3 linked regions of the Rhinolophus ferrumequinum genome follow. The protein of the gene in region 3 purifies or fractionates together with the protein of the main gene of each other region. This does not show direct contact. Links are inferred from orthologs where the notes say so. Each region holds a gene or a part of one and is shown on either strand. Other genes may lie near its edges.

What was found. The genes of interacting proteins can lie anywhere in the genome.
Region 1: the proteins of ZC3HC1 (region 3) and PLK1 purify together in Homo sapiens (affinity purification with mass spectrometry; 3 studies listed by BioGRID and IntAct, counting the BioPlex papers as one, with this or other methods). This does not show direct contact. The link is inferred for Rhinolophus ferrumequinum from reciprocal best matches to the Homo sapiens genes ZC3HC1 and PLK1.
Region 2: the proteins of ZC3HC1 (region 3) and CUL1 purify together in Homo sapiens (affinity purification with western blotting; 3 studies listed by BioGRID, with this or other methods). This does not show direct contact. The link is inferred for Rhinolophus ferrumequinum from reciprocal best matches to the Homo sapiens genes ZC3HC1 and CUL1.

The regions. Positions count from the first base shown.
Region 1 is NW_022680357.1:17,555,106-17,565,681, reverse strand, and holds the start of PLK1 (serine/threonine-protein kinase PLK1), read right to left. Parts: upstream 5,165-10,576; 5' UTR 1,847-5,164; coding exon 1,439-1,846; intron 813-1,438; coding exon 644-812; intron 1-643. Other genes in the region: DCTN5 (dynactin subunit 5), read right to left, coding at 10,261-10,358. UniProt on the Homo sapiens protein: Serine/threonine-protein kinase that performs several important functions throughout M phase of the cell cycle, including the regulation of centrosome maturation and spindle assembly, the removal of cohesins from chromosome arms, the inactivation of anaphase-promoting complex/cyclosome (APC/C) inhibitors, and the regulation of mitotic exit and cytokinesis.
Region 2 is NC_046309.1:4,748,767-4,759,107, forward strand, and holds the start of CUL1 (cullin-1), read right to left. Parts: upstream 5,165-10,341; 5' UTR 5,023-5,164; intron 4,919-5,022; exon of another isoform or gene 4,809-4,918; intron 4,708-4,808; exon of another isoform or gene 4,544-4,707; intron 1-4,543. UniProt on the Homo sapiens protein: Core component of multiple cullin-RING-based SCF (SKP1-CUL1-F-box protein) E3 ubiquitin-protein ligase complexes, which mediate the ubiquitination of proteins involved in cell cycle progression, signal transduction and transcription.
Region 3 is NC_046309.1:16,463,849-16,474,483, forward strand, and holds the start of ZC3HC1 (zinc finger C3HC-type protein 1), read left to right. Parts: upstream 1-5,569; 5' UTR 5,570-5,614; coding exon 5,615-5,760; intron 5,761-7,695; coding exon 7,696-7,807; intron 7,808-10,599; coding exon 10,600-10,635. UniProt on the Homo sapiens protein: Required for proper positioning of a substantial amount of TPR at the nuclear basket (NB) through interaction with TPR.

The DNA.
Region 1 (10,576 bases), on a different chromosome or scaffold from region 3:
CCACTATGGAAAACAGGATGGAGGTTCCTCAGAAACTTAAGAACAGAGCTACCACGTGACCCAGCAGTCCCTCTTCTGGGTATCTACCCGAAAAATTTGAAAACCCGTGTTCATAAAGGTGTATGCACCCCTATGTTCATTGCAGCATTATTTATAATAGCCCCCAACAAGGAAACAACCCAGCTGCCCTTTGATGGATGATCGGACAAAAAGGGGGTACATATAGACACAGTGGGATCCCGCTCAGCCACAGGAAAGATGAAACACTGCCATGTGCTACAACATGGATGGATCTGGCGAGTATCCTGCTAAGTGAAATAAGTCAGACAGAAAGGGACAAGAACTGTTTCACTCCTATGTGGCATATAAAATAGAAAGCAACAAACAAACAAACTCGTAGGTACAGACACCAGAAGGGTGGCTATCAGGGGGAAAGGGGTAGGGGGAGGAGGAGGAGGGGACAGGGAGTCAGAAACGTGGCGTCGCAGGGAAACAGACTTTGGGTGGCGAGCACACAGTCAGTCCACAGAGATGTCCTGTAGAACTGCAGGCTGAAATTCAGAGCCGGCCGTCAGCCGGGGCTGCTGACCACCGACCCCCTCCCTGTCCCCTCACCCCCACTTTGTAGCGCCCAGCACCTCACCTATTTTCACCTCCAGGTCCTCGTTCAGAAAGAGGTTGCCCAGCTTGAGGTCCCGGTGAATGACGCGGTTCAGGTGCAGGTACTGGCAGCCCAGGACAATCTGCCGTAGGTAGTAGCGGGCCTCGGGCTCGGTCAGGGCTTTCCTGCGTTTGTGCAGCTCCAGGAGAGACTGCGTGGGGGAAGGGGAGAGGAAATGGGGGGTCGCCACCGAGGTCCCAGGGCGGCGGCGGCAGCATCAGGTGAGGGAGGCCCAGGACCCCCTCCCATTTCTTCTCCAGGACAACCAGCCTCTGGCCTCTCCCGAGCCTGACCACAATCGTTCAGGGCAGCCCCTCTCCCACTAGCTCCCTGACTTAGGACGCCTATCTCAGCTCCCCTCGGCCTCTTGGCAGCAGCAGACCCCTTTGCTGACCCTCCCAAGTCTGGCCCCACCCACGGTCTCCCAGATCCAACGCCACTTCGGAAGCTCCCGTCCACAGCACCCCTTCCCGGGGACTCCACCTTTAGCAATCCGGAAGCCCTCGGGTTCATTACCAAGGTTCCCCCCAAGTGGCCTCCGCCCTCGCCCACACGCAGCGTCCAGGAGCCACCGTCCCCAGCAGCCAGCACGACCGCGGCTCACGTCACCGGAACCCCCTCCCCCGGCAGCTCCAAGCTCGGCCGAGACGTTTCCCACCTCTAAGCTCGGGGTTCCCAGCACCTCCTAGCCCCGGGCGCCCCTTTTCCGGCAGCTCCGGGTCGGAGCGCCCCAAGCCCGGCCCCCAGTAACCCCAGTGCCCCCGCAGCGACACTCACCCTCCGGCGGCAGAGCTCCAGCACCACGAACACGAAGTCGTTGTCCTCGAAAAACCCGTGGAAGCCCACGACGTGCTGGTGGGCGAGGCTGCGGTGAATAGATATCTCCATGGACATCTTCTCCTTCTGGTGCGGCTTCAGCAGCAGCGACTTGGGCACGATCTTGCCCGCGAACACCTCCTTCGTGTCCGCGTCCGAGATCTCGAAGCACTTGGCGAAGCCGCCCTTCCCCAGAAAGCGGCCCCGCAGGTAGCGCCGCCGGCTGCGTGGGTCCACTAGGACCTCCGGGATCTCTTTCGCCGGCGGGCCGGCCGCCGGGGCCCCGGGAGCTGCAGCTCCGGGGCCCCCGGCTTTCCCTGGTTCGGCTCCTGCCCGCGCCAGCTTCCCTGCAGTTGCCGCCGCGTTCATGTCCCCGGAATTGCTCAGCGGCCCTAGCAGGGTCTGGCCAGAGGTTTGACACCGCTCGGCTCCTCCTCGAATTCAAACGCGGCGCCGGGAACGTTACAAAGGCCTGCGCGCTACTGATTGGCCGCGGGGATTTAAAATCCAAACCCGCCCGCCGCGCGGCACTCTGGGAGCGCTCTGCCCGCAGCAGCCTTTTAACCTCACGCAGGCGGGCTGGGGGGGTCGGGGCAGGACACACGACCTTGAGTGACGGGGGCTCACCCACAGCAGCCACGTGGGGTGGCTGGGCAGCCAACCCGAGGAGAGCGGGAGTGGGGGGTTTCTCCCTTTCTCCGCCGCCTGGGACGCTCCTGCGCTCACAGGCACCTCCTCCAGGAAGCTTCCCTACACCTTCCTCCACACCCACCCGCCTTCTAGAACTTAACCTCCGGATACAGACCGGGCAGCGCCAAGAGGTAGCCTGGGAGAGCCTTGGCACAAGCCTCCCACGCCATCAGCTCTCTCCTGCGACACCCCAAATAAACTAAAACCGAAGCAAAACCAGGATGCTGGCCAGGAATTTGCACGTTCAGGGCAAGGCCCCTCCTCCCGTCCTGCCAGCACTGGCTGCTCCTGGAACCTTCTGGCTTACGGAGCAGCTCTACTTAACCCGCGGTGCAGGGGCCGCCGGGATCACCCTCACCTGGGAGCTTGTTAGACCCCACTCAAGGCCCAGGGCAGACCTGCCGGGAGAACCTGCCTTTCCATCTGCCTAACGAGTCCTACACACACACAGGTTTCAGAAGCACCGTGCAGGGCTCCACCGTGCCAGCAGGTCTGGCTTGCTCAAGGCTGGATTTCCCAGTGCCCAGGGAGCAGACCGGTTGGCACAGTGCCTGGCAACCGGTAGGCCGAGGCCAACTCTGGCTCCTCCCTTTTTAAAATGACTCATTTTACAGCACTCAAAAATCAACAGAGCTCACATAAAAATCCAGGTCTGTGGCTTTTCCTGAAAAAAGCTAGCAGCTCTGGCAATGCTATGCCTCCATACTTTCCCAGCTTGTCACTGGTCCCCGCTGTGGCCCCTTTGCCCCTTTGACTGTCTGGCTTCCATAGATACATGAGTGGCAACCCTGGCAAATCACCCAAGTCAGAAGCCCTTCTCTGTGTCCCTAGCGCCCCACGAGGCGTTTGATGGAGCCTAACAAGAACCCCCACGTTCTGAGTCGCTCTTTAGCTGCCTCCCAACAAACTGAGAGGAGGTGATGACGTCCCTCCTACCCCATGTCCCAGGCTCCCAGAGCAACGCCAGGTAAAAAGGGGTGACAAACGTTTGCTGAATAAAAGGGAGTTTAAACAAAAAATTAAGTTATTATTCTTTATCCTCGTGGTGTGTAGTCTTCTATTTCATCTTTTTGTTGAAGTTGATTCTACGTACAGAAAAGGTGTACATATCATAATTGCACAGCTCGGCGACGTTTCACACACTGGACACACCCATGTAAACAGACTGAGAAAGAACGCTGCTGACACCCAGAAGTCCCCTGTGCCCTGTGTTGGGGGTCCCCAAGGCCACCTCCTCGTTTGATGACATTACAGCGAAAGACTAGGAAGCAAAATCAGCCAGGGGAAAGGCACAGAAAGCCAAGTCCGGAGGGAAGCAGGCACAGGCTCCCCGGAGTTCTCTCCCAGTGGGGTCACACATGTTGAATTCCCCAGCAATGAGCTGTGACCACACATGCCAAATGGTGTCTACCAGGGGAGCTGACTCGGTGCCCAGGGCTTTACCGGGGCTGCTCACGTAGCGCCCCCTGCCGGGCACACCGGATTCCAGATTACCACAGGAAAGCAGGTATTCAACAAAACCACAGTCTACACACACAGCTCAGGCAGAGTGAGCTGCTCGTCCTGTAGGGAACGGTGAGAAGCCTCCCCCAGTCCAAGTTCCCAGGCGCCAGCCGAGGGCCAACCCGCAGCAGGCCTTCGTAAGGAGAGCAGCCTCAGGCCTGCTGTTACCTTTTCTGCAAGCTCACCCCTTGGCCCAGGTGCCTTTGCACCAGGATCACACAGAAGGGTCAGGCCAACCTGCAGGACTGATCTCAGTACCTCTTAGGGTCCTGGATTAGCCAGTTAAAATCAAAGAACCCCGCTCACCATAAAAGCCCACCTTCGAAAGCCAGGTGGCCTGCTCCTTGGTCTCTGGGAGTCGTTTTACCCCAGGCACTGAGGCCGGTACAGCACAGCTGTGGCCAGGGAGTCCGGGCTGACCTGCAGCCTGAACCAGCATGGTGATGGGCACACACAGTGTGACCCAGAGGACACATGCAGCCCCCCAGAAACGAGCTGGGGATGTTAGGGTACCCCAGGAGGGACGTACACTAGTCAGGCAGCAGAGGTTCATAGGTCCCCCGGGACGCCTCCCTCCTATCATGGGGCCCTGCCCTGGGGTTGCCAGTCCAGTCTGAGAAACTGGTCCAGTCCTCGGTTTCCGAGGGACTGCATATGGGGAGCCTGCGGGAGCCCAATGGGAGCCAGTTCCACACAGTGTTGCTTGCCCAGGATACCAGTTTATCCATCACATGAGTGTGGATGGCACCTGGAGGGGATCTGCGTGGACAGTAAGGTCATGGTGCTGCCAGCTGTGCCCCCCAGGTCGTGCTCAAGGGAGGGCTTCCAGGAGGAGTTCTGCAGAACAAAGATATGAAATGCCCTCCACCTGCCCAAGGCTCCCCGGGGCCAGGTTTTTGCTTTTGCTCCACTGTTACAAAAGCAGCGTGTCCGGCCCATCCGCAATCCTAAGTCTGCATTTGTCAGTCACCTCTTACTCGAATCCAGGCCTTCCATCTGGAAGGACTGTGCGCAAAAGGCATAAAAGCAAGTAACCAGAAAGACGTGTTCAGGAATTGGTCAAGATGTGCTATGCACTGAATTGTTGTCCCCCAAAATTCACGTGCTGCAGCCCCAACCCCAATAACTCAGAACAGGACTGTATTGGAGATGGGGCCTTTAGAGCGGTGCCTAAGATAAAACGGGGTCCTTAGGGTAGCCCTAATCCAATATGACAGGTGTCCTTAGAAGAGCGCAGGACACAGACGCACAGACAGAGGGGTGACCACGTGAGGACACAGGAGAAACCAAGGACAGAGGCCTCAAGAGAAGCCAAACTTGCTGACACCTTGATCTTGGACTTCCGGCCTCTAGAACTGAGAGACAATCAATCTCTGCGGTTGAAGCCCTCCCGTCTGCGCTATTTGGTTACAGCAGCCTGCGCAGACTCAGAGAGGATGAAATCCTGAATTCTCAACAATTTCAAAAAGCTTCTCCATAACCTCCTCCCCCTTTTATCCAGAGAGCAGCCTAGAAAAGACGAATCGCCTCCTAGAAACAGCCACACTGGAGTAATCAACCTACCTTACCCAGTGTCTGTTCCAGGGAAAGTGGGGAGGCAGAGTCAGGCCATTGGCCGCTGTGCCAAGTTGCAAATAATCCAGAAGCAGAACAGTGAGCTGTTCCCCAGAGGGGGCCCAGAGGCTCATGTGTCAAAAGCAGGAGGAGGGGTCACAGTCCCCACGATGTGGCCTCCCCCGATTGGCAGCTTTTGGCAGGGATCACAACTCAGGATGCAATTCGCCTCTGCAGCAGAGAGAAACGGCCGGTCAGCAGCTTGATTTCAAGGGTCCCATCAGAGAACAAACCCTTTGCTGTGGGCATCTGTATGTGACCCAGATGGTCCAGCTGGCAGCTGCGATGTGTGTGTCCATGATTCCGAAAGGTCCTAGGTCTCCTGTGGTCCTGGGCCTAGTCCAGTCCCGCGCAGATCCCGGGGAAGCAGGCACAGAGCATGGCGGCCGGTCTGTTTTCAGCTTCCAGTCAGGCCCCACCAACCAGGATCAGTGAATTCGGGATTCCCAGGGAGCCAGCGGCTTTTCTTCTGCAGCAGCAGAGGCAGAAGCTGAGTGCCAGACAGCCATGGTCCAAGCCCAAGTGAGAAGCGAGGCTTCCTTTTCATCTTGTCAGTCTGAGTCCAAACTGACCCACTCAGAAATACACACATCCGACTGGACAGCCATCAACCAGTCTGGCTCAGACATTAGATTTCATTCAGCAAGGGCTCAATAGCAATTCGACTGCTTTTTCAAATTCCAAATGTGTATTTCCATCCAAGGATTGACTCTCTTTTCATGTTGTCTCCCTTTCCAGAGGCTCCAATAGACAGAAACCATGCCAGCAAAAATCGTCAGTTATGGAGACTTGCTCTGGTTCCACTTCTCAAAGAATTTAAATTCTAATTCACTGGTGGCAAAAAGCAAGACAGCCGAATCCCACCGTGCACGGAACTGACCTTCACAGTCCCTATACATGTTCCCCATTTGATGGACGAGACATCTGAGGTTCGTCGGGGAGACAGCTTGTCCGGACGTGCAGAGCTGGGAGCTGATCTGCCATGTCCAGCGCCCACGCCCTTCAGCACTGTGATGGCCTTTGGGACGCAGCTCTCAGCCTCCACGAGAGACCGCTCGTGTGTCTCCCACTAAGCTGTCCGCTCCCGACGGGCAGGGCCTGGCTCCATCTCCTTCTCCACTGTGCCTCCGGGACCCAGGGCAGTGCCTGGCACTCGGCAGAGGCTCAGGGAACTAACTGTTCACTGCATGACTGAGCGACGCAGCATGAGCCGGCTCTATCTTCCCTGCCCTGAAGGGCAGCAGGGCGCGGTCTACAAAAGCACAGCGCCGCCCCTGGGGGCTCGACAAGTGCTTCTGTGACCATGGACTTACGGGAATGGGTCCAGGCTGGGAGAGCATTCTGCTGACACCTGTTTTGAAACCAGCAGGCCTCTGGACATATTGTCCCCCCACTGCCAGTGCCACTGCAGCTCCCCAGCCCTGCAGCTCCTCAGACGCTGCCCCGGAGATGAGCCAGCTCGACCTGCCCCGCCACTGCAGCCGCCCAGGTGTGCTGGACAGCGGCTCAGGGCGTCGACGTGGCTAAGGCGCCAGGTCCTGGGCCCACTGTGGGCTCTCACCAGCCAGATCTGGATGCTGAGACAGAGCTCCCCAGCCACCAAGTTCCCTTCTTTACGGTGAGAAACTCCCAAGGACGCACTGTGTAGGAGCAATGCTTGTCTGAGTCATTTCAAGTCTGCCCGCACCCAGGTGGGTCAGAGTGACTAAGAACTGTGGCCTCAGGCAGAGTGAACTGGCTCACTCCGGGATTCAGAAGCCACCACAGACGCCAACCAACAAAACGCCCCTTTTTGCTTAAACCACTTCAAGCTGGATTTCTGTCACCTGCAGCAAAGCCTGCTAACTGGATTTCTGTTTCATCTAGTGAGTGTATTCTTTACAGAGCGCCAGCCACACGGTACAGAACTTCAGACACTATTAACAACTGCAAGCAAGACAGTTCTCCGGAGAAACCTGCTCCCATCTAACGACTCAGACCCCAGTTGCAGCTGTAAGACCACGGGGCACAGTGTAAGGACACTGCCCTCTCAGAGGGGACACGAGGCTTCCTGCCTGGGGCAGACATCGCTGGATGGTTCACCCCAAACCCATCCCACCCCCTTCTCCTTGCCTGCCTGAAACACCCAAATACGCATTTTCTCAGCTTTCTGCACAGCAAGGGCTGGCGGGGTGACACATCTAGGGCACTGAGAGGCGTCACAACAGGGAGGAGGTCCAGCCAGTGACTAGGAGACAGGAGGTCCTGCCTGAGCCTCTGTTCCTGGGGAGAGTAGGTGTACCTGCCTCGCAGTGGTTGCAAGGAGTAGGGGATTCATATACGGAAAGGAGTCAGGAGGCTACCTGGCTGTTTCTAATCCTGTGTGTGGCAGTACGGAGCCCTCTCTAAGACACAGCGAGTCACAGCAGCCAGAGCAAAGCGGCAGCACCGGTGTGAGTGCGACAGAGACACCCCGTGTGCGCACGCAGACCGCCTGGCAGGAGAGCCCAGAACCTGCTCGGCGGCTGCCTCTGGGGAGCAGAATACGGGGCTGGACGCGGGATGGGTCCACCGACTTCAGTATTGTCCCTGCTTTCCTGCCTGGATGGCACTTTTGGAATCATGTACTTGAATGACTTAAAGATTTTAAAATTCTATTTAAGAGGCTCAAAAAATAAATTAATTAATTTAATAAAAAACCACGCCCCATGTTCTCTTTCTTTTCTTTTCTTTTTATTGGGGAAGGGGAACAGGACTTCATTGGGGAACAGTGTGTACTTCCAGGGCTTTTTCCCAAATCAAGTTGTTGTCCTTTCAGTCTTAGTTGTGGAGGACACAGCTCAGCTCCAGGTCCTGTTGCCATTGCTAGTTGCAGGGGGCGCTGCCCACCATCCCTTGCGGGAGTCGAGGAATCGAACCGGCAACCTACTGGTTGAGAGGATGTGCTCCAACCGAGCCATTCGGGAGCTCAGCAGCAGCTCAGCTCAAGGTGCCGTGTTCAATCTTAGTTGCAGAAGGCACTGCCCACCATCCCTTGCGGGACTCGAGGAATTGAACTGGCAACCTTGTGGTTGAGAGCCCACTGGCCCATGTGGGAATCGAACCGCCTTCGGAGTTAGGAGCACGGAGCTCCAACTGCCTGAACCACTGGGCCGGCCCACACCACTTTCTCTTAATTTGGGTTGTTCACCAACAAATTGGATAGTCAATTATATGTCAATTATATCTCAATAAAACTGCAAAAGTAAAATTGAAAAGAGAATGGACAGTTAGTCACATAAAGCGGCGAGGTATTCACACACAGACGGGACGGTGATGTGTTGCATCACCTGGAAGATTTCTCTAGGGAGCAAAAGGGTGTTCCGTCAGCCTAGGGGGCACCTGAGCTCTGCCAGCCCCAAGATTCACCTTTTTGGTGGCACGAAAGGGGAAAGGAGCTGGCGGAGAGGCCGGGAAATGGCTGAAGAACCTGCACCCATCACAAACTGCTCGTGTCGCACAGGACGCAGAGCAGGTGTGCTCCAGGGGCAGGCGTGTCCCGTCTCACCAGGGCAGAGCTGAGGGCCTGGGCAGTGGAACCAGACCTGGGGCAGCCCCTGTACCCCAGTACCTAACATTCTCCCCTGTAAATGGAGCAACAACCACCTGACAGGGTTGGTGTGAGCCAGGAGCGGGCCAGTGATTGAAAAGCCTGCAGCGGGCACCGGGCACGGAGCAAAGTGCCCGGGAGACACAGGAAGCCATCACTGGAGGGGGACAGCTATCACCTTCAAATGACTCGGTTCATGTATCAATCTTTTAATGTACAAACATAAAAAAACTGACAAACCAGGAACCAGTTTTACATCGAATGAGTGGCGATCATTCCGTTAGCCAATTCTGCAAACCCCACAACCGGATACTGAGCCAAGATCCGGCTTCCAGGCTGAGCTGTCCCCCCCGTGGCAGGAGAGTCGGAGCGGAGCCAGGCCGCCGTCCTCGGGCCTGCACGTCCATGTCCATCGTCTAAACCGAGAGGTCAGAGCAGAGCCGGCAGGGTTGTGCCATCAACAGAAGGTGATGCCAACGGCACTCGCAGCCTCACTTACTTGGGGCTCGGGGTGCGGTGCCCACAGAGCGACTGTAAGAGGCCCCCGCATGTGCACGTGACTGGGCCCAAGTCGGCATTTCGGTCTGACATGCAGGTTCCGGCAGATGCAGGGGGAGGTGACTGGCTCCAGGCCAGGGGACAAGGTTCGCCAATGCTGCGTCTTTGTCGAAGCCGTGAACTGCTGCCCCCAAACGCGAGGCCAGGAGCGGCTGCCAGAGCGGTCCATCCACATGGGACTTCGAACCCGGACTTTGCAAAGCTAAAATCCGGGTGCTGCCGGCCACCCTATTAGTGAAAACTAAAGGCCCTGGAACAGAACGCTAGAAAGTCACCCTCAGTTAGAAGACAGTTAAGGTCATCAGGGAAGGAACGCTAAGCACCCATCCTTCAGGCTTCTGTAGCCAACAGCACTCTGCGCTCTGGAAAGCCACACACTTTTGTTTTCAAGATGATGAGAAGTTGTGACGACGCAGCAGGAAGCTGGAACTGGCCCGTGGGGCTGGGGAGCGTACGACGCCGAGCAGCACCCCTGCCCCCCCCACACCCTCTGTGCTGCGACAGAGCTCTCAGCGTGTGCCAGGCAGGGCCCAGCGCCCACCCAGCGCCCAGGGTAGGAGTGCAGGGGGGCAGAGGAGCCTGTCCCACAGATAATGGCATGAGCGACTGTTAATAGATACACTTTAAGCACAGCATTTGGAGACAACTCCTCCGGACATTCTATTATTAAAGTCTTAAGAGCTTCAAGCCACGGAGGGCTGAGAAATTCTAAAGAATTAAAAAAACCCAAGAACAACCGAAAAGGAGGGGTGGAAGGTGTCAAAGACACAAAAGCTCTTCGCAGATGCCGACTGACGCACCGCCCCAGCTCATCTGAGAGCCCAAGCGAATGCCCCACGCGAGGCAGACATCAGACCTGTGTCAAGGGCAAGAACTTCTGGTAGTAGCTCTTGGTGACGTCAATCATCAGCTCCTGGGTGCATTCTGGGAGCTCCCCTGAGAAGAGTCCTGGGAAAGAAGGAGCCGGTCAGCACGAGGAGCCGGGAGGCCTGCGGCTCCGGTTTCTGTGTGAACCCAGAGGCCCTTTCCTGGGCCTCTGAAGTCACCAGTGCTGAAACCTGACGTCAGCACAGGTTTCCCACCTGTGGTATTAACAGACGATTTCCACTGACCCTGTCTCCTAGATGACGTGAATTTCCGTGTGTTGTGGGGAGACAAATGATACT
Region 2 (10,341 bases), about 12 Mb from region 3:
AGATCATTTGTATGGTACTTTTGGTTCTTAATTTTTTGGAAAAGTATTTTAAAACCACAAAGCTCACCACCCTGAAAGTATGATCATTTTGACTACTTTAAATGTTTTCACCAGTGCATACACACTTTATGCACACACATTTTAAATGGCCGCACACATTTCATACTATCTGCTTTCCAAAAGCATTTTCGAAGACAGGCCTTTTTAAAAATTGGAGCACGTTACGTCTGACAGACTTAAAAGTGGTTCTACAAATTTCACACCCAACTTAATATTCCCCAAATTCCAGAACTGTTCACTTCTATCCCATCAGTGGCCAATTACTCTCCTTCAATGTCCACCAGCTACTAAAAGACCAATTAGTATAAGCTTATTCTTGGTAATCCACCGAGTTCTGCAGAATGAACTCTGTCGTAAAGATCAATGATCAGATATCAATCCTTAGAGCATCAGAGCATTTTCATTTTGATCTTTTCTCCTCCGCCACCTTCCACCATAGAAATCCCACATGTAGGGGTGTCTGGTTAAAAGCTGGAGCTCTGGAGTCCCATTCTTGTACCTCAGGCTTGATCACCTCCTCGGTCCCACCTCACCCACTCAAAGCCTCAGTTTCTTACCCTACCTGCCGTAAGGTGAACTAAACAATAGTGCCTACCCTTGATGAGGTTTGGTGAAGATTTTAAGTGGGAGGATGCTCATGAACAAAGTGGGAATTAAACGAATGTTAGTGTGGGCCACGTGTTAAGACATGGGGGACAGACACGCACCCCACGGTCCCTGCCCTAAAGGAGGTCTGTCTAGTGGGAGAAACCACCAAGTCCGGTCAAAAGATTAAGGGGTTCATGGGATCCCAGGGAAGTCTCCTAGCCTGGGTTGGGAGGGGGGTGGTATCAGGGCCTGAGCTGAGCCCTGCCTTTTTGAAGGAGCAGGAGCCTGTTGGGTGCCAGGAAGGGACATGGAACCCCAGACCAAGGAGAAGCATGAGTAAAAGGAGAGGAAAGAGCAGCGTGGGAAATTCGGGGAACTGGTGCTGCAATGACGCGGAAGCGGGGAGTGGGAAGCCTGGGAGGGGACTCTGCCTACTTGGTCCAAGTTTCCCCAAGGGGAAAAATTTAAATGACTTTCTAACTTAGGCTTCACAACTCTGCTTTTCAAACATCAATAAGATTATGCTTTATAGGACAGTTTTCCAAATGCTGTTAATGTTAAAAGCTATGACATCCCCATGGAATCCACAGGCTTTGAGGCCTAAGGAAATCTCAAACAGTGTCAATTAAAAATCATCTATCTCTTCTTTTTACAAATGAGGAAATGGAGGTCCAGCAAAATTAAGCTCACACTAGATCCTATGTCTTCTTCCCCAAGCAAAACGTTCTATGGCTAAGCAAAAATAAAACACAGCTTTTTTAGAAGCCAGAAAGTATCTGTGTGAATAAAAACTTTACAAGTTATTAAGTGTTATAATAATGATGTTGTTTATGCCGTGCATTATTAAACGTATATGTTATAAACAGGGAGCTTGAAGGCCTTAGTAATAGAAGAAACTTAAGGTTTTATTTAAATCTGATTTATTTTTCATATAATGTTCATTTCTCAGTTTTGAAAAGCAAACAAAAGGGCACACCTTACTGAGAAACTCCCAGATATCAAAAAAAAAAAAAAAAAAAAAAAAAAACCCACACAAAACAGGCAAACTTCGAATTGGTCCTTAAAAATAGTACACTCTTTTCTCCAAACATATCTGAAAAACAAGTTCAAAATTCATCCCCAAAAGACATTTTATTCTAGACTGACTCGATTGTTGAGGGTAGGAAGCCCATGGCTTTGGGACTATGGAGGGCTGAAATAGCCAAGAATACACACACATTCCTAAGTGTTTGGGGCCCTAATTTTTAATTTTGAAGAATGGCAAGTACCTCAATTTAAAGCATATTCATTTTAACTTCCCATGCTGAAAGAAAGGTACACTATGCCCGCTGGGTAAACTAGGAGTGAACTTCTGATACAAGGTCCTCAGGACCCAAGAATGGTCCCCCCTGTAAGAGCTGTCACAGCAGACTAGTACCACCACTGGGGTTGCCTCATGTCTACGTATAGGCAAGAACCTCAACCATCAAGCCATTTCATTTTAAAGTCAAGGGTGCAAATATCTACCGGGAAAAAGAGCTCGGTCTTTTTCTTAAAAAATAGACAAAATCTACACCTTAAAACCAGCTGGGGGTTAGCAAATTCAAGTTTTAAAACTTGTTTTCTTGGCACTTTCCTGGATTGCAACAGCTCAAGAAAACCTGAGCGTTTTTTCTGTTGGGGCCCTCTATTGGATACTGGAACACTACAATAAGAATTATAATAAAACTTGCCTCTTTTTTGTTTTTCTTTTCTTATTCTTTAAAGCTTGCATTCTTTATTAACCAGTGTAAGTGCAGTGATTATTCTCTGCAGCCAAAATCAGAAGTGGTCAAACATTAGGTTGGAATTTTTCCAGAAGATTTACTCCTTCAAAAAACAACTGAGTTACCCATGACCAAGTCCTATGCTACTTTGGGGATGCAAAAATAACTAAGGACGATCCCCTCCCTTCGAGGAACTCATAGTCTGAAATGCACGGGAGACAATTAAGACACAAGATAACATTCAGTAAGAGGCAGAGGAGTCCAAGAAGCTGTAATAGCTAAGGAAATTGCAGTATCAGCTCAGGCATTCATTTGTCCCTTGGTCCTCTTGATACTTTATCTGATAGTACATTAGGAGAGGAGGGGCATGCTTGCAAGGACCTGAGCTTGTGATCTTACACAAGGAGGGTGGATTTCATAAATTAGCTAAAAGTTCTAGTATAGTTAAAGTCTTTTTTTTCCTTTGGCAAAATAGTTTTTAAAAGATTACACCAATGAGAAAAAAAAAGTTGAAACATTTTTAGAGAATAATTCAGCCAACCTTCTTAAGCTTAATGAGCACTCCTGAAACCTCCAAAAATGGTCATAATAGAATTAAAGGGAGCCAGTCCTGTGTTTGCAGCTTCGGAATGTGAAATGTGATGCAACGATGTCCAATTGCCATAGAAAGCAGAAACAGAACTTTCAAGTAAAATTTTTTCTAATATCCAAGAACCTTTTTTAACAAACAAAAAATCTCATATCCTATTTTTTTCTAAACCCAATGATTGCTCTTGCTTTTTAATCATTCTCCTTTGCTACACAACACACAAACTCTCCAGGGTTTCAGAAAGTCAGATGGACAGGGTGGCCACAAAAGGGAATGTTACACTTAAGATTGCACACCCATCTGCTGAGTGTAAAGATATGTTTAGGTCCTAGAAGCTCAGGGCTTAAAGTAAAAGTGACTTTAGTTCCCCTCTGTCACCCAATAAGTGCCTTTCAAAAACAGCGTGACCATTTACTCGACTAACTTGGACTGTTTTAATGTCACCCGGGGAAGACCCATTACACAGAGCAAATAAATACCTAAGTTAACTGCAATTCCGTATTTGCACGCTAACCACTAACCCCAATTACGAACTAAAAGCAACAGCAGCCATCCAATCGGAAAACAGAATCCTATTTTCGGCACAGGGATCGCTAGAGAGAAAACCCTTAACTTTGGAGATTCGTCTCCAGGAACGCTCATAAAGCATGTGCCTTTCTCTTGACCATCATCGTGTCTACAGTGCGCCGCGCTCCCCAGGTGGCAGAGAGCGCCCCGGGGCCGCGCGCGGGTTACCTGCTGGGTCAGCGCGCGCTCCCGCCGGGCGCAGGTTCGGGGGCGCGCCGAAGCCGCGGCGCGGGCCCGGCCCGACGCGCGAGCGCCGGGGGGCTCCGTCCGGTCCCGCGGCTGCACTCGCATCCCTGCGCGCCTACCCGGCCCGTTCCCCCGAGGGAACGGAGCAAAACGACGACTATTACCCAATAATAGTGACCTGCACAGTCGCAACAATGCAGGCGGGGAACCGAGAGCCGCGGGCAGGGAACCGGAAAGCAGAGCGGCCGGCTCCGCGGCTCCCCCGGCGCGTGAGCCCACTACTTATTGGCGAGCACGAGTCGGGGGAAACGCGACGCTCGGGGGGGAAGCGATCCCGAGGGGAAAGGGCACGAGGCCCCGTGGGGGTCGCCGCACGAGGGGAGGCGAGGCGCGCATGGCCGAACTGCCCAGCGCCGCCCGCCGGCCCAGCTCTGCAGCCCCAGCCCGGTCGCGGTGGGGAAAGAGGCTGGCGCCACAAGGCCGCCGGCGCCGGCGCGATGAATCGGGCTTTTTCCCAGTGCGTAGTCCAGGCCTGGCCGCCCCGAGCCCGCGTCCGGGGCCGCGGCCCGGCCAGGCCCGAGCCGGCCGCCGTGACTCAGGGCCGGCCCCGCTCGCTCGGCTCCCGCCCCCAGCGTCCTCCGCCCACGAGTCCCCCTGCCCGGCCGCCATTCCGCCCCGCCGCGGCTCGGCGACTCAGGCCTCGCCCGGCGCCTGGGCTCGGCCGCCGCGGCCCCAGTCACTGCGACACCGCGGCTCCGGGCCGGGCCTGCGCCGCCCCTCTCCTCGGCCCCGGCGCCGCGACACTCACCCGCATGTCCCTGCTGCCGTAATGGCCCCGGCGACGTCTCCACCTGGTCGCTGGGCCTGGGCCCCGGTTAAATCCCCGTCCCGCCAAGGTCTGGCTGCGTCCCTGAGCCGCCGGGGCTGCCCCGCCTGGAGCTGCGTGCGACACGGCTCCCGCCTCCTCCTCCTCCCCTGCCCGCCCGCGGCCCTCCTCCCGCCGCCGCCGCCTGCACCGCGCAACCTCCGCCCTCTCGCCTTTCCTCCCCGGCTCCCCGCCCTCCCGGCCTCACCGGCTCCGGCTACCGTGGGGGAGAGGCTGGGGGGGGAGGGCCGGAACGCACCGCCATCGGCGTCCGGGGCGGGGGAGCCGGGAAACCGTCGCCGCCATCTCCCCACCAGCCCGAGCGCGGGAGGGGCCCGGAAACCTCCCGCCCGCCGCGGCCACTGCCCCGGGGTCCCCCGTCCCGCGCCGCCCGAGGCTCCGCTCGCCTGGGGGATCTCTACCTGAAAGCCGGGGCCCCTTGCCCGGAACCCCGCGCCGTCCCGGGCCGGGCGGACCGGGTCCTCCTCCAGGTTTTACAGCCTCCCTCGACAGCGGGCCGCCTCTTAACGACCGGCTTCCCGCCACTTCCGACCCAACGAGGAGGGGTCACCGCTTTAGGTTCGGGACACGGACCTCTGGAGAAAGTGGCCCAGTACACCCCGAAGGAGAGGGTCCTCCACCTCCTCCTGCGCACACACACACACCCGGAACCGACTTGGAACACGGCTACAACTACACCCAATCAACGTGCCTCCCCGGACCGGGACTATTACCAAAGAATATCCCCGGCTGGCTGATGAGACCGGCGGAGATGGGCAAGTGGCTCTGAAAAGCAGGCGCAGACGTCGGAGAAGCGTGTAGTCCGCTCTGGAGCCCCTGTTCACCTGAGGCCTTAGCCATCAGCACCTGAAAGCCTGAGCTTTTCTGAGCCTCATTCTCGCTCCTTAGAATCGGTTCTAAGATAAAACTATACGACGCTTCCCGCTTCAAACTTGAACCAACTCTTTGGGGGGGGAGGGGGCAAATGTTGACAAAGAATCACTTTACCATTACTCTTTGTAAAGACAAATCAAGGATAGAATTTAAGCATTTACATAAAAGGATGGCATGAGGTGTGACTAAAACACTATCTTTTCCACGTGTAGTCTGAAGTAGTTAATTGCATTCACTTGAAATTGAACTGTCACCGTTGGGGACTTGGAATACTCTAAATACAGACTTTGGCAGCACCTGGCTTGCTACGGTGCCAGAGAGAAAGCATGGGCCTTGGAGTACCATGGTTCACAACATGCCAGAGAGCTGGCTAATTGCATGAACAAGCAAGGAAGGATTTCAAATGATCCTATCTGGGCAAAAGACACGATGAGTGGAACTTCCTCTAGTTTAGTTTTGCTCTAAACTAAAACAGTACAGATATTCTGGTACACCTTGGGGTAGCAATCCTAGGCCCTGAGCAGAGGGCCACCCCCAGAGTCCAGTTTCCTGAGTCACATGGGCTTCTCTTAGGAGACATGTCCCACCAGTATATGTGGTTCCTCCTATTGAAATGTGGCCTATTGTCAACATCTGTTAAATATCTTCAGAAGTGTTGCGTTGTCTGCACTTGTCACCAAAGTATGTAATCTCAGTCTGTGCAAGGATGTACAATTCTTGGTTTATATCCTATACTTCTATACAACCTAGTCAAAAGAAAATTTAGATGTATTGAAACAACTTTGTTTATGGGCACATGGTAAGACTAGATTGAAGGTAAAAATGGAAGACTTGTTCCTGTGGACAGCGCTTTCCACAGAACATATATGGCTTTTTTTATATCTTCATTTCTTCGCCTATTGGAACCTGTGCTTTCCTCAGACAACAACTTACCTCCATCTTCCCTAACCTGTCTTCTCCACTCTCATCATTCAATATGGTCTCCCTGTCTGTGACTTCCCACAGTTAATACACTAGTTGAGTGGGTCAGCGTTCCCTTTACTATTTCTTTCCGCCACCTTCTATTTTTGCCTAATGGCAGTATTTAGTCCACTTGTGCCTCCACTTCTCACCACCTCAATTCCTGGTTCTTAACGTCCTTATATCCCCTCCTCTCCACCCGTCTACATCATCATTCTTAGCAATTAGACTGTTCCACTGACTTTTATGCACTTCACAGCCAGGTTGCATCTACACTACTTCCACTCTGGGCGGATACTCTTGCCTCGTACCTGATGGATCCAGGGCATCTACTTTCCGCTGCAAAACCTCTTCCCTCCATCTTTCTCCGCCATCATAGCAAAACTGATGTCCCTTTTTAAGATGACCACAGTTAGGAGGGATCATTAATTTGATAGATGTCAGAATCAAAATGCAAAATAGTCTCAGATTAGACTATTTAGCCAAAACCAGTGAAATAATAGAACTTTACAAGTCCCAAATGATATGATGAAGTTCAAAAAGCCAAGTTTTAGATTTAGGCAGACTTTGTTTTATACTCAGACTCAAACTACTATCTTTTGCTCTAGTAACTGTTAAATAGGGATAAAAAGATCTACCTCCTAAGTGAAGAGTAATTCCTTTATAATTCCAGCATAATTTCTGAAAACTCACTGTTAGTTCCCTTTCTTTCCTCACCTACCATTAAGTGGTGGTCCACTGACTCCCCTACTGCTATTGATAACACTAACATTTTCTAAGTCATAAGGGCCTGAAGACTCCAAATCCTGACCCACTGACCTTGCATCCCAGAGCTAGTCCCCATCATAGAGAAGTCTTTTATTTTGTCTCAGTCTGGGTGGCAGACATCATCACACCCATTTTCCAATGAGAAAAACCTAAGACTTGGAGATGTTAGACAATGTGCTCCAAATCACTCAGCTTGGTCAGTGACATCACCTGACTCCCAAATCGGCATATATCCACTCCTGTACTATGATATTTCCCCACACCTATATTGTTTCTTTAACCTTCTGAGTAGTTTTCCTGGTTCTGATCTCTGCCCTTCCAGCCGCCTGTGCAGTGACTGACTGCAGATGGTTCTTTCCAGTGACCTTCATCATTGTATCTTTGTCCTTTGAAACTTTTCAGTGGCTCCCCATTGTTTACAGGGTTCAGTCCAAACTCTGACTTGGCACTACCATAATAATCTTGTCCTAACTTACTTTCCCCAATTTATTTCCAGCCACTTTCCAAAAGGATCTCTCAACTTCATCTAGGTCTATTGGGCCTACATTTGGCCTACAGATAACGGCTTTGGATCGCCACTTATGAGTGCTTGCTGACATTGGTTCCCCTAACAGAAATAGTTCCCTCCTCCTTTCCTGCATCCGCAAATCATGCTCCTTTTTCCAAATCCAGCTCATGACCCCTCCTAGGAAGCCCACTTTGCACCTTCTACCCAGGTTTTGTGATCTCTCCCTGAGTACCAGCTTCTCCTACGTGCCTTCTATGTGCCTCCTGAAGTTGCCTTCTGCGGATCTGTGCTTTGGGCCAGGCACTATTTCCTAAAGTACACCAGACCCCTCGGCATTGTGCCTGAAGAACACTGAAGAGTGTCCAAACATATGTGTTTACCAATGAAGTGAAAGGGTACTGCGTCACTTGACTAGCCATATGAGCTGTTATTTCTAAGACATGAGTAAGGAACTAGCTATCCCGTGCAAAGTAAATTCATTTGATGCGATAGTTCCCAAACCTGTCTTTGCTTCAGAATCACCTGGGGACTTGAATTCTGATTCCAAGGCCCATTCCAGATGTACTGAGTCAAAATTGGGTGGGAAGGGGTGGGGAGGAAACCTGAAACTGCCAGAGTTTATATCCTGGTTTTACTATTTATTACCTGGGTAACTGAGCAAGTTACTTAATGTCTCAGTGCCTCAGTTTCTTCATCTATAAAATGGGGATGATAATAGTATCTCATATGCTGTTGCAAATTAAATACTTAATAAACATTGTGAAGATGATGATGGTGATGATATAATTACCCAAGGTCAGTCTGGTGACCTGAGTTTGGGAACCATTGATTTAATGAACCACTCCTTCTGTTAAAGTTTTAAATGTTATGGCCTTAAAACTTATGGTATTAGCATTATGACATATTACAATAAGACTTATTTGTTTTGAAATAGTGTATGTTAAGGAAGAGGATCCAAGTAAACAGATTTTTCAATTAAATTTGTTTTTTTAATCCAAATCATGCAATATATATTATGCGGGATTTTTTTTTTGCAAAACTAGTTTCTCTTAGAAAAATAACTACACATATGCTATAACTATACAGAGTCATTCACAGCTTAGTATTCAAAAGATGCAGGCAAGAGATGAAATAATACCATGATTTCTTTCACTTAGGACAATGAGTCATAAATTCTTTTTGAAGGAGCAGGTTTTTAAATCCTCTACTTGAATTCGTTAGAAAAAACTTTCAAAGCTCCTTTTGGTCCATCAAATGCCAAATAAACAATATTTTAATGATGTTAAATGTAACTAGATATAAAATAGGAAGCAGAAATTTACTTACCAAAGTCACTAAATATGTATCGATGGGGAACAGAGAATGGGTAGCCCCACCTTCTGAACTCTTGATTTATAAATGGCCTATACAAACAAATACAGAAAGGGCTTGTTTTTAACAGCTTGAAATTAACCAGATTCCCTGTATTCTCTCTTAAAGACCCAAATAGCTCTGGGAGGGTAAACAGGGCTTAAGTGTCATTTACACATCAGCATTAACTAATTCAGTCAGGTTGCCTGCTTTCTAACACAAATCAGCTCTTAAAGAATGGAGAGTTTGGGGTAATTCAAGTTGGGGAGAACCCTGAGGACCTCAGGGGAGGCACCGGCCTTGGTTGGGTCAGAGGATGTAAGGAGCAGAGCAGTTAGCAAAGGAAGGGAATGAGGGAAGAAGAGGGAACGATTTAAAAATCTAATCTGTCCAGTTTCAGATTTTGCATATTGAGAAGTCATAAGCCTCTTGCTTTGGGGACCCATAAGACAGAAAACACTGTTCTAAGATAGTCATGAATTAATGAAGCTTTTGAGGTCTGCCCTGGGCGATCTGCACACCCTTGTAATGTTCTATTAGGTTGGACCATATGGAATTGCAACTGACTTTCAAATAATTCTACCCGGTCTGTATAAGATAATTATTCAGAGTTCTAGAAAAGAGTCCTAAAATCCCTTTTCCCGGGAAGCTTTCTGCGACCCTTCCACACATCAACCCAGCCCCATGCTCATAGGTGGATTAGGAATCCCACATACTTACTTGTACTAAAGTTTATCAATAGGGCATTACGGTTTTCCCCTTTTCTATCTCCTCCTCCCTGACAGATTGTGAGCTCCTTGAATTCAGAGACTGTGTCTTTTATTACTATATCTGGGGTATTTAGCATAGTGCCTGGCACATTGAATACTGAAGGGACAGTTGGAACCCAACTCATACATTAGTTGGGATTATTTGTACCATGAAACTCAGCCATGCTACGTTCCGGCACGAAGACCTTCTAATTCCCCATTTCCTACCAAAAGAATGTCAAGCATTTCATTCCTAAAACACCCTCTACACTTTGGCTTCCACAGATCCATCCATACTTGTCTTCCTCTGGTTTCTTATACAGGAAGTCCTCACTCAACGTCCTCGTTGATCGGTTCTTGGAAACTGCAGCTTTAAGGGAAACCCCATATAGTGAAACTGATTTTACCAGAGGCTGATTAACAAGAGTTAAATTCTTACAGCATATTTCTGGTCACAAAAACATCACCAACTTCTAAGTAAAGACCCACTGCTAATAGTAAACATCGAAATA
Region 3 (10,635 bases):
TTATACAACGGAGTATTACGCAGCCATAAAGAAGAAAGAAATCTTACCATTTGCAACAACATGGATGGATCTAGAGAACATTATGTTAAGTGAAATAAGTCAGACAGAGAAAGATAAGTACCATATGATCTCACTTATTTGCGGATTCTAAAGAAAAGAATAAGTGAATGAACTGATCAGAAACAGTTTGGGAGACAATGAGGAAAAACTGAGGGTTGCTAGATGGGCGGGAGGGGTGGGGGGTGGGGGGGAGGGTGAGGGGATTGGAGGGCAGTCGGTGACCACAGGATGGCCACGGGGTTTGAAAATTAATCTGGGGAACGTAATTTGGTGGTTACCAGAGCGTAAGGGGGTTGGGGGGTGGGGGATGAGGGTGAGGGGGATCAAATGTATGGTGATGGAAGGGGAGCTGACTCTGGGTGGTGAACACACAGTGTGATTTATGGATGATGTGATACAGAATTGCACAACTGAAATCTATGTAATTCTACTAACAATTGTCACCCCAATAAATTAAAAATAAATTTAAAAAAAAAAAAAGAAAAAGAAAATGTGGTACATTTATACAACGGAGTATTACGCAGCCATAAAGAAGAAAGAAATCTTACCATTTGCAACAACATGGATGGACCTAGAGAACATTATGTTAAGTGAAATAAGTCAGACAGAGAAAGATAAGTACCATATGATCTCACTTATATGCGGAATCTAAAGAAAAGAATAAGTGAATGAACTAATCAGAAACAGTTTTGGAGACAAAGAGGAAAAACTGAGGGTTGCTAGATGGGCGGGGGGGGGGGGGGTAAGGGGGAAGGTGAAGGGATTATAAAACAATCAGTAACCACAAGATGGCCATGGGGTTTTGAAAATTAATCTGGGGAACGTAATTTAGTGGTTACCAGAGGGTAAGGGGGTTAGGGGGTGGGAGATGAGGGTAAGGGGGATCAAATATATGGTGATGGAAGGAGAACTGACTCTGGGTGGTGAACACACAATGTAATTTATAGATGATGTGATACAGAATTGTACACCTGAAATCTATGTAATTTTACTAACAATTGTCACCCCAATAAATTAAAAAAAAAAGTTATATGAATGAGTCATCTATGTATTTATTTCCTCCAATAATCTAATAGAAAGTTCTGAGCTAAAGCTAGATGATATTTTTGACATCTGCAATATTGATCTTGAAGTCCAGATATTACTTCCTATTCCCAATTCCAGCAATAATTGGCTTATAGACTCAGTTGATAAAGATTTCAGTAACACTAACTTAACTACCAGGGAACAAGATAGTTTTATGAAGATGTCAAGTGACATCTCATTAAACTGACGTTAAAGGAATGCTCTCTGGCAAAGATTTGTGAAGCAGATTAAATAGAGAAGTTAAACTGGGACATATTTTCTACTTTTCTCCAACATTGGTAATCGTAGTTCAGCAAAGCAACATCATTCATCAGAGTAAATTAATATTACTAATGTGAATTGTTTTGAGTTTATGGTTATTTAAAGTTTACTCTGATTTTTATGTTCTATAAGCACTATAAGCGTAAGGAGCTTATAAATAATGTATGCATTTCGATAAAAAATAACTTGTCAACATTGAGGAGGAGGCTTTTTTTCTGTTTAAAACAGGATAAACAAAATTAAAAGGTAGAATGAACATTACTCGATTTTAAGAAATACTATTCTACCAAATTCTCCTTCTTGCTTAAGTTAAATTGGCTTTGTTACTTGAAGCCAATAAAATTCTAAGTAAGACCTTACCCCTAGAGTTGTAAGAAATAGATGCAAACCATAAAGTACAATACAAACGTGAGATATTTACTACACAAAGTAGATTCTTAAGAAATGGTTTTCTTTTACTGAGCAGGGAGAGGTGAATTAAGATAATATTAATAATATGTAAAGTTGTAATAGTCCCAAGATTAGCCAATAGCCATATGGATAATTATACTGTGTGTTTAAATTTAATTTTAATTTGTAAAATAATGAATACATCCTTGTTGTGTAATCTTTCATAAATAGAATACATAGAAAAAGTGAATCTCTCCCCTTCAATCTCCATCCAATCTTACTCCCCACTCCAAAAGACTGTTAACAGTTTGACATCCACCCTTCCAGATCTTTTTCTATGTACTTACATACACATATGTGGACCTACACAGGTATTCTATTTTAGTTTGTACATAAATGGGATTATACAGAATATATTCTGCAGATGGCTTTTGTTCTTTTTTATAGAATGTGTCTTGGATACATTGCTATAATTTTTTTAACAGGACTTCCTTATTCTTTTAACCCACAGCCATTTTTCTGTCCCCTGGGTTGGCAACATTAAGAGTGAAGACCTCTTACCCCCAAAACAGCACAATGTCTTTTTAGAATGTAAGTTTACAAACACAACACAAAACACAAAGGTGTTAAAAAAAAATCCAAGGACTTCAAATAAATTCAAGCAAAGATGGAGTTGCCATCGGTACCTGAACAATCTTTCACTTCAAAAAACAAAACAAACAAACAAATAAAGAAATAGGGGTTAGAAGGGGGGAATTTCTCTAAATGTCAAGGTCTGAGTGGATCTGGAAATACATGGATGTATACAAACAAAAGGCCAAAATCAGAGAGTCTTCTTTTTGTTTAGGCCAAATCTTTTTGTTTAGGCCAAAATCAGAGAGTCTTCCTTAAAACTGATTCTCGCACTTGCTATATATATATACCCCATTACCAAGTCCTGTTGTTTCTAGCTCCAAAATGTGTCTTGAATCTTCCCATGTCCAGCTGTCTCCACACCCATCATCATCTTCTGCAGGGGTTCCTTTATCAACCTCCTAATGGTCACTCCAGATCCTCTTTTGGCTCTAATCCATTATTCACATAGCTTTTTGGGTGATGTTTCCAAAAATGCACAACTATTCACGTTACTGTGCTGCTTAAGGTCTTTCGATGGCTGTGTTTGGGTTTTAGGAGAAAGTCCAAATCCTTTAGAAAGTTTATACACATTCATTTTAAAACGATTTATTGAGTGTCTACTCTGTTCCAGGCACTGTTGTAAGCACTGGATACAAAAATGAAGACAAAAATTCCTACTCTTGAGAAGATTATACAAATTATACTCTAATGGGGACAGGGAGAGAAATAAACATAACAATAAAAGTATATATTATGTTATAGGAAGATAAACACTGTAGACAACAACAAAGGGGGAGAGGAGGAAAGGGGAGGGTGAAGAAATTGCCAAATGCCCCCTGGAAGGCAAAAATGCACCAGTTTGAGAACCACTGATCTTTAGTTACAGGAGAGAGGGTAAAGTATTATCAGAGGATGATAAGACAACTACTCAATATAGGAAATGAAAGACAAAGCTGAATTCGTTGCTTACTAGAGACAGTGACAGCCATGCTGGTCAGGCACAGGCTTTAAGCAGACCAGACTGCTAATCTTATATTGGATTTTGAGAAATGGGAATTCAGGGATTGGTGAACTTTCAGGGGTCTAAGTGTGTTGACCTCATATGTAGAAGTGAAACTATTGTTGATTGGTTGGCATTCAGAGGCATGCTTACTGAAGTGAATTTCTTTATGAGTGGTTGATTTTCAGCATCAAAGGGTTGTCCTTGATTGGGCTTGCAAAAGCATGTTCACTCCGATGAGTTATTGATCAATTGAACTTAAAACTGGCTCTGATTTCTAGCTGTTACCATGAGAATGTGGGAAATTAAAAAATTCCCAATACTCTATATGCTAGAGAATAGATGAGGTGATGGAAATTTGTGGAAGTCTTCTGATTGCTTAAATTTTTAAGTGAAATAGGAAACAAGCTACATCTGTGGATGGGAGGGGGAAAGATGCTAGGTGGAGACGTTGAAGGTTTGAGGAGAAAGATAGAAAAAATCACATATGAAGATGAGAGAGGAAGTGGACTAGGGAAATACCGTGTTTCCCCGAAAATAAGACCAGGTCTTATATTAATTTTTGCTCCAAAAGACACATTAGGGCTTACGTTCAGGGGATGTCATCCTGAAAAATCATGCTAGGGCTTATTTTTCTGGTTAGGTCTTATTTTCGGGGAAACGCGGTATAGTATGATTACTGGGCAGAATTAAGGGCCACTGGGGTCGAGAAAATAGAGACAAATCAGCATGTCGTAAATTTTTCTTTAACTATATCAGCTAACTGGGTGCAGGAGCAGACTAGTAGAGACTTGAACTCAACTCAACTGCGATTGAGGTTTTGCCAAAGAAGTATTATAAAGCAAGAAAGGTTCAAGGAAATTGAGAGGATATTCAGAAGAATATATTATTTTTAGCTCATTTATTTTTTATGATGTTGCCAAACATCTCAATAGTAGAAAAAATAATATAATGCCTATCACCCAAATCCAAAAATTAAACACATTTCGCAATCTTCTTTCATCTACTCCTCCACACATATTCTTTTCCTCAAGAATTTTCAAGCAAATCCCAGACATCATACCAGTTCACCCATAAAAACCTCAAGATGTATCTCTTATAAGGACTTTTAAAAAACCGTAATCACAATGCCACTATCACATATAACAAAACTAACAATAATTCTTTAATATTAATTCAGTCCATATTCACATTTTACCAAGGAAGGATGACAATGATTGGCAATGAACGTAAGCTGGCTAAGGAGAGAAGAAATAAGAAGGAGGGTGGCGTTAGGGACACTGAAAAGGAGCTTAGATCAGTAGGTTAAAGGTCCTGGTAGGCGGGAAGATTATTGAAGTAAGGACCCCAGAGGGAGTGAGCTGGGAGGGTTGGTCCCACTTTCATCTTTGCCCACCTGCTCAGTCACAACAGTCTTCTTTTTCAGTTTATTATATGAAACAAACTCCTTGCAATCTGGGATGTTGTACGATTCTGAGCAGGTCTCTCCCACACTCTCACCAGCTTTAGCTTCAGCACCTGACACTATGAGGAAACTCTGCAGACTAAATTAGGTCCTCCTTTTATACCCTTGGTTCTTCTTTGAAGCACTTACAATCATAATTTCAAAACTATAGTAAAATATATTTATTTGATGTCAATGTCCTCTAAACTATGTTTCCTTTGTTCACTGCTGTCACTGCCAGCCCCTAGGACAGTGTCAGTAGGACACACTCAATAAATATTTGTTGGACAAAGGAAGGAGTGGTCAATAATGTCAAATGCCACAGACTTCTAAACCCACCTGTAACACAGTTTCTAAGAAGGATTCTAAATTATTTACTCTCAAGTGAGAGTCGCCAATTCCTCACTTGTAAGAAGACCTAATTTAGGAAGGCCATATAACTTAATTACTTGAGGACTAAATTGGGCCCCTCATCCTGCTGAATTTGGAGAGACAGCCCTCTGAAAATCCCTTTATCAGCCCAAATAAGCTCATGAATAAAGGGACGATTAATTTAGGTTTAATCACCAGAGCCCTTCCGTTGGGGTTTACCTCGTTCTAAAATGGCCAAGAAGGCGTGGGCCTCCGCGGTCAGACTCTGCGTGCGGGGCGCGTGGCCAATCGCGCGGGAGGTTGCCCGCAAGGAGAATCTTAACCGCCCAGAACGGAAGTTTCTGAACCTTCAAACCCACGGGGAAGCAACTCGGCAACGGACCAAGATGGCGGCGCCCAGTGAGGAGCCTGCGTTTGCCGCGGGAGTTGAAAAGAATTGGGGTGCAGTTGTTCGTTCCCCAGAAGGGACTCCCCAAAAAATTCGGCAGCTGATAGATGAGGGAATTGCTCTGGAAGAGGGAGGCGCGGAAGCGTGAGTTCGCTATTCCACCCTGGGTCCGGCGCTGGCAGAGTGGAAAGGGTTTGGGTAACGCAGGCCTAGGGAGATCCCGTGGGTGGGCGACAACCGCGGTGAGGATGGATGGCTTCGTCGCGAGATCTGAAAGAGACTGGGGTTACTATGTTTAGTCGGCTTTAATCTCCTCGGCTTGTACTGGATTCCGCACCAACGGGCGGAATTTTGCCATAAGTCCGTTTTGGCGGGGGAAAGGAAAAAAAAAGACCAGCAGCTATGCCTACCTGACTTCTCTTATTTGGGCTTCTTGACCTTTTTTGAGCCGTAGACACCTTTGAGAGCCTGGTAAAGCTTATGAATAATAAGCTTTACCAGAATAATAATTTTCAATGTATGAAGTAAATTACATAGGATTATAAAGGAAACCCCATTACACTGGAATGAAGTTATCAAGGTAGTAGAAAAAAAGTGATGCAGTAGGAAACCCATTACATTGGAATTTAGTTATCAAGGTAGTAGAGAAAAGTGATGCAGTAACATGCTTCTTTATTAAAAAGTTAAATAATATCTAGTTATAGGTCTATTAGCTACCATAATTTTGAAGTAGCATAAACAATATTTCAAAACATGGACAACATTTTGTCGGTGACAAAATATCTGTAATTTCCATTGGTGACAAATTCACAGGTACTGCTGATGCTACTATGGTTTTATTTATTACTTTCATTCATAATTGAAGGAAGTGCTAAATTTCAATTAGAAGTTAGTAAAATAAATGTCATTTTTTTCCCCATCCAAGTTTACTGGAATCCTTTGAATTTTTTCCAAGAACCACACCTCCCTGAAGCTCTCTGTGACTGTCTGAGAAGGATTCCTACAATAAATTTCTTTTGAGTAATAATAGTTGGTGTTATCCTGGTTTTATTAAAATGACTTTTGTCTTCAGCCATTCCTCCCTCTACCACTCCCCAAGTGCTGTTGAAATGCCTTTGACTGAAAATAAGAGAATTGTTTTTGCGACTTTTTCTCCCTGAATTTTTTTCATGAAATTGCCAGAAGACCTTTACTTTGATCTGAATTTTCAAAGTGGTGCTTTTTGGGGGAGAAGTGGGTATTGAGAGTTAATCCAGGCAGAAATATCAAGATTTTTTTTTCTGCTGTTAAAAGAATTATATTTCTAAGGTGGTCCGAATTGTATAATGCATAGAAGCCTTGAGTCATATTTTGTGTTTACTAAAGTTACGCAAAATATTGTTGTACAGTGAGTAAACTAGAGGAATAGTTTGCCAGTAGAGGATGAGGGGAGCACTGTGGAAGCAGAAGTTGCTTGAAACTTAGGTATGGCCAAACTGTAAAGAGATTTGAATTCCAAACTGAAGAATTTGGATTCTATTTAGTAATTACAGTCGTCCCTTGGGTTCCGATGGGGATTGGTTCCAAGACCCCACTTCAGATACCAAAATCCTCAGATGCTCAAGTCCCTTATATAAAATGGTGTAGTATTTGCATATGACCTGTGCACATCCTCCCGTATACTTTAAATCATCTCTAGATTACTTAAAATACCTAATGCAATGTAAATAGTAACTATACTGAATTGTTTAGGAAATAATGACAAGAAAAAAAAGTCTGTACATGTTCAGTATCGAAACAACCATCTTAGGCCTAACTGCATAGTTCACATCAGCAAAAACATTTTTTTCCCCAAATATTTTCTATCCACAGTTTGGTTGAATCCGCAGATGTGGAACCCATGGACACAGAGGGTCGACTGTATTTTGAAACCATTGAAAATGTAAAGCAGAGGAATAACATGATTAAAATGATTTTTTTTGAAAGGTTAAACTCCAGAGTGGTGTGATTGATAATATGAAGTTCAGGGAAACTGTGCAAAGTGTTTAGGCAAAGTGATGCCATGAAGGGATTACCAACAGTTCTGCCTCTTTATTTTAGGAAGGACACCTCTGCCACATTCCAGTCAGTTAATGGGTCACCCCAAGCAGAGCAACCTCCATTGGAATCTACAAGTAAAGAAGCCTTCTTTAGCAGAGTGGAAACATTTTCTATATCCTTTACTAGTTCATGTGAGTTGCACTTTCTGCCTGTTCGTGGAATTGCTGTCCCCCCCCAGGAATAATACCACTTACTCTGATGTTTTAAATTTAAGAGGTATACTTGGTAAGAAATTTTATAGGAAAATCAGCATCATAAAATGTTATCCCCCTACCCCCCAAAAATGTTATCCCTCAAAGGGATTTTTGAGATGATCAAACCTTTTCCTTTTACAGAAGAAAAACTAAGCCTGAGAGAACAAATAATAACTAACATTTATATGTAATGTGTTTTCACATGTAGTATCACATTTGATCTTCACCTTAAACCTATGAAAATAGGTATTATTTTTTTATACTCATTTTACAGAAGAGGAAACAGTTTCAGGTAGGTTATGTAACTTGCCCAAGGTCAACCTGCTAACAAGTGGCAGAAGCAGGATTAGGTTCTTGGCACCCAAACTTTTTTTTTGAGACTATACTACGCTTCCTGTTTCTTTCTAGATTTTCTTTTGTATGTTAGTTATCTATTATTGTAGAACAAATTACCCTAAAACTTAGTGGCTTAAAACAAGAAGCATGTATCTCACAGTTTCCGTGGATCAGGAATCCAGGTACAGCTAGCCGAGTCCTCTGACTCAGGATTTTTCATAGACTGCAGTCAAGGTGTGGGCTGAGGCTGCATTTATCATGGGGCTCGATTAGGAAAGGATCCACTTCCAAGCTCCTGTGTTTGTTGGCAGGATTCATTTCCTTGTGGCTGTTGGATTGAGTGAGGGCTTCAGTTCTGTACTGGCTGTTGGCTAGAGACCTTCCTATGTTCCTTGCTACATGGGCCTTTCCACTGGGACAGTTCACAGCATGGCAGCTGGCTTTCCTCATAATGAGCAAGCAAGAGAGAACAAGAGAGAAGCTAGACTCTATAGTCTACAGAAGTGACATCCCAGCACTTTGCCATTTTCTATTCACTAGAGATTTTTTTTTAATGTAAAACAATTACAGACTTACAGAAAGATTGCCCAGGTTACAAAGAACTTCCTTCCTGAGTACTTAAAAGTTGCCAAAGTGATAACCTCATTACCCCCAAATATTTCCTGCAAACAAGGACTTTCTCCTACATAAGCACAATGTAACCATCAAAATCAAGGAATCCACATAATAAGTTAATCCCATCTAACCCTCAGACCCCAATTATGTCATCGTTGCCCCAATAATGTTCTTTGTATCACATGGATCCAGTTGAGAATTCTCAGTTTTTCTTTCCATTGCATGATTTTGATGCTTTTGAAAATTACAGGCCAGTTCTTCTGTAGAGTGTAGTTCACACTTCTGTAGAAATGTGTAGTTCACATTTGTCTGGTATTTCCTTATGATTAGATTCAGGTCATGCAGGAGTATCAAAGAAGTTGAGCTGTGTTCTCTTTGCATCCTGTCAGGTGGCACATGATTTTTGACTTTTCCCTTTACTGGCAATGATCACTGATTACTTGATAAAGAGAGTGTCTGTCAGTCTCCTCCATCGTAAAGTAACCCTTTCCTCGTTTGTAATTAAGAAGCGTTTTGGGGTGGCCAGTTAGCTCAGTTGGTTAGTGTGACACTAATAACACCAAGGTTGCTGGTTCAATCCCCGCATGGGCCACTGTGAGCTGCGCCCTCCTTAAAAAAAAAAAAAAGTGTTTTGTGGGGAGGTGCTTTGAAACTGTAAATATCTCATTCCTCATCAAACTTTATATAATTTATTTGTAGCAGCATGGGCTCATGATTTCCTTTTTTATTCAATGAGTTATATTCCATTACTATCATTATATATTTTGATGCTTCATTTGTCCCCTGGACCAATTTCTGATTTGAATACAGTATTTAGAACCATTTCCTTTTGTTCTCTTTTGTTCTTGTTGGATATAAATTGGTCACCACTTCAGATATGATAATCATTTATTTAACTTAAGCTAATTAAGTAATTCCATTTTATTCTCGATAATCCCAGCTCCTTGCACATTTACATCTAAATTCTGTTTTCTAGCCTTCAGTCCTCCTTTTGCTGATACTGGAATGTTTTCAAATTCCCATATTCTTTATAAAAATATAGAACTTGCCTGCTTCTCCTTTCATGTTTTATCCTTTTTTCCTCCTGTGCTCTGTAAAATAAGAGCTCTTTGGGTGAAATATAAAAAGCTGAGTGTTGAATGTTAAAGATCAAGAAATGTTTTAGGACATTATCCCAAGCACATGCTTACAGATGCTCTTGGTGCCCTCAGCCTATTTAAAACACAGACTACACACACACATTAATATGTAACTTTTGGGCAGGGGCCATAATGAAGAATACTATTAATTATACTGATTATTCTTTGGAAGGTAAGAGTGGATGCGGTACAATAGGATAGCCTAATGAGTGGTGGAAAATATGTCTGCTTGTTTGACCTTCACCATGCTTTATTGATTAGGCATTCCACTAGTGTTTTTAAATCCCTAGGATGTCACATTAGGTGGGTGGGAATAGCTTCTATATGCCATCCCACACCAATGATAAAATAAATATTTAAACATGTAAAGTACATAGGGCTTCCTAGAGAAAAGATTCATAACTTTTTCCCTCTGCTTATTACTCAAATGACCTTCATCATTCTGTGAATTATGTGCCTGTGCTTTAAAAAGTTTTAACACATTTTCTTACTGCTCTCCCCCTCAGTTTAATGTGTTTATTCCTATGTGCATAAAGAATGAGTGAAAGCTTTCATTTCTGACTTACTCATTTTAATATACTTGCATTGAATATACTTGTTGTTTTTCTTAACATAAATACTCTTTGAAATGGGCAGGTAAGCCCCCCGAGCTGTCT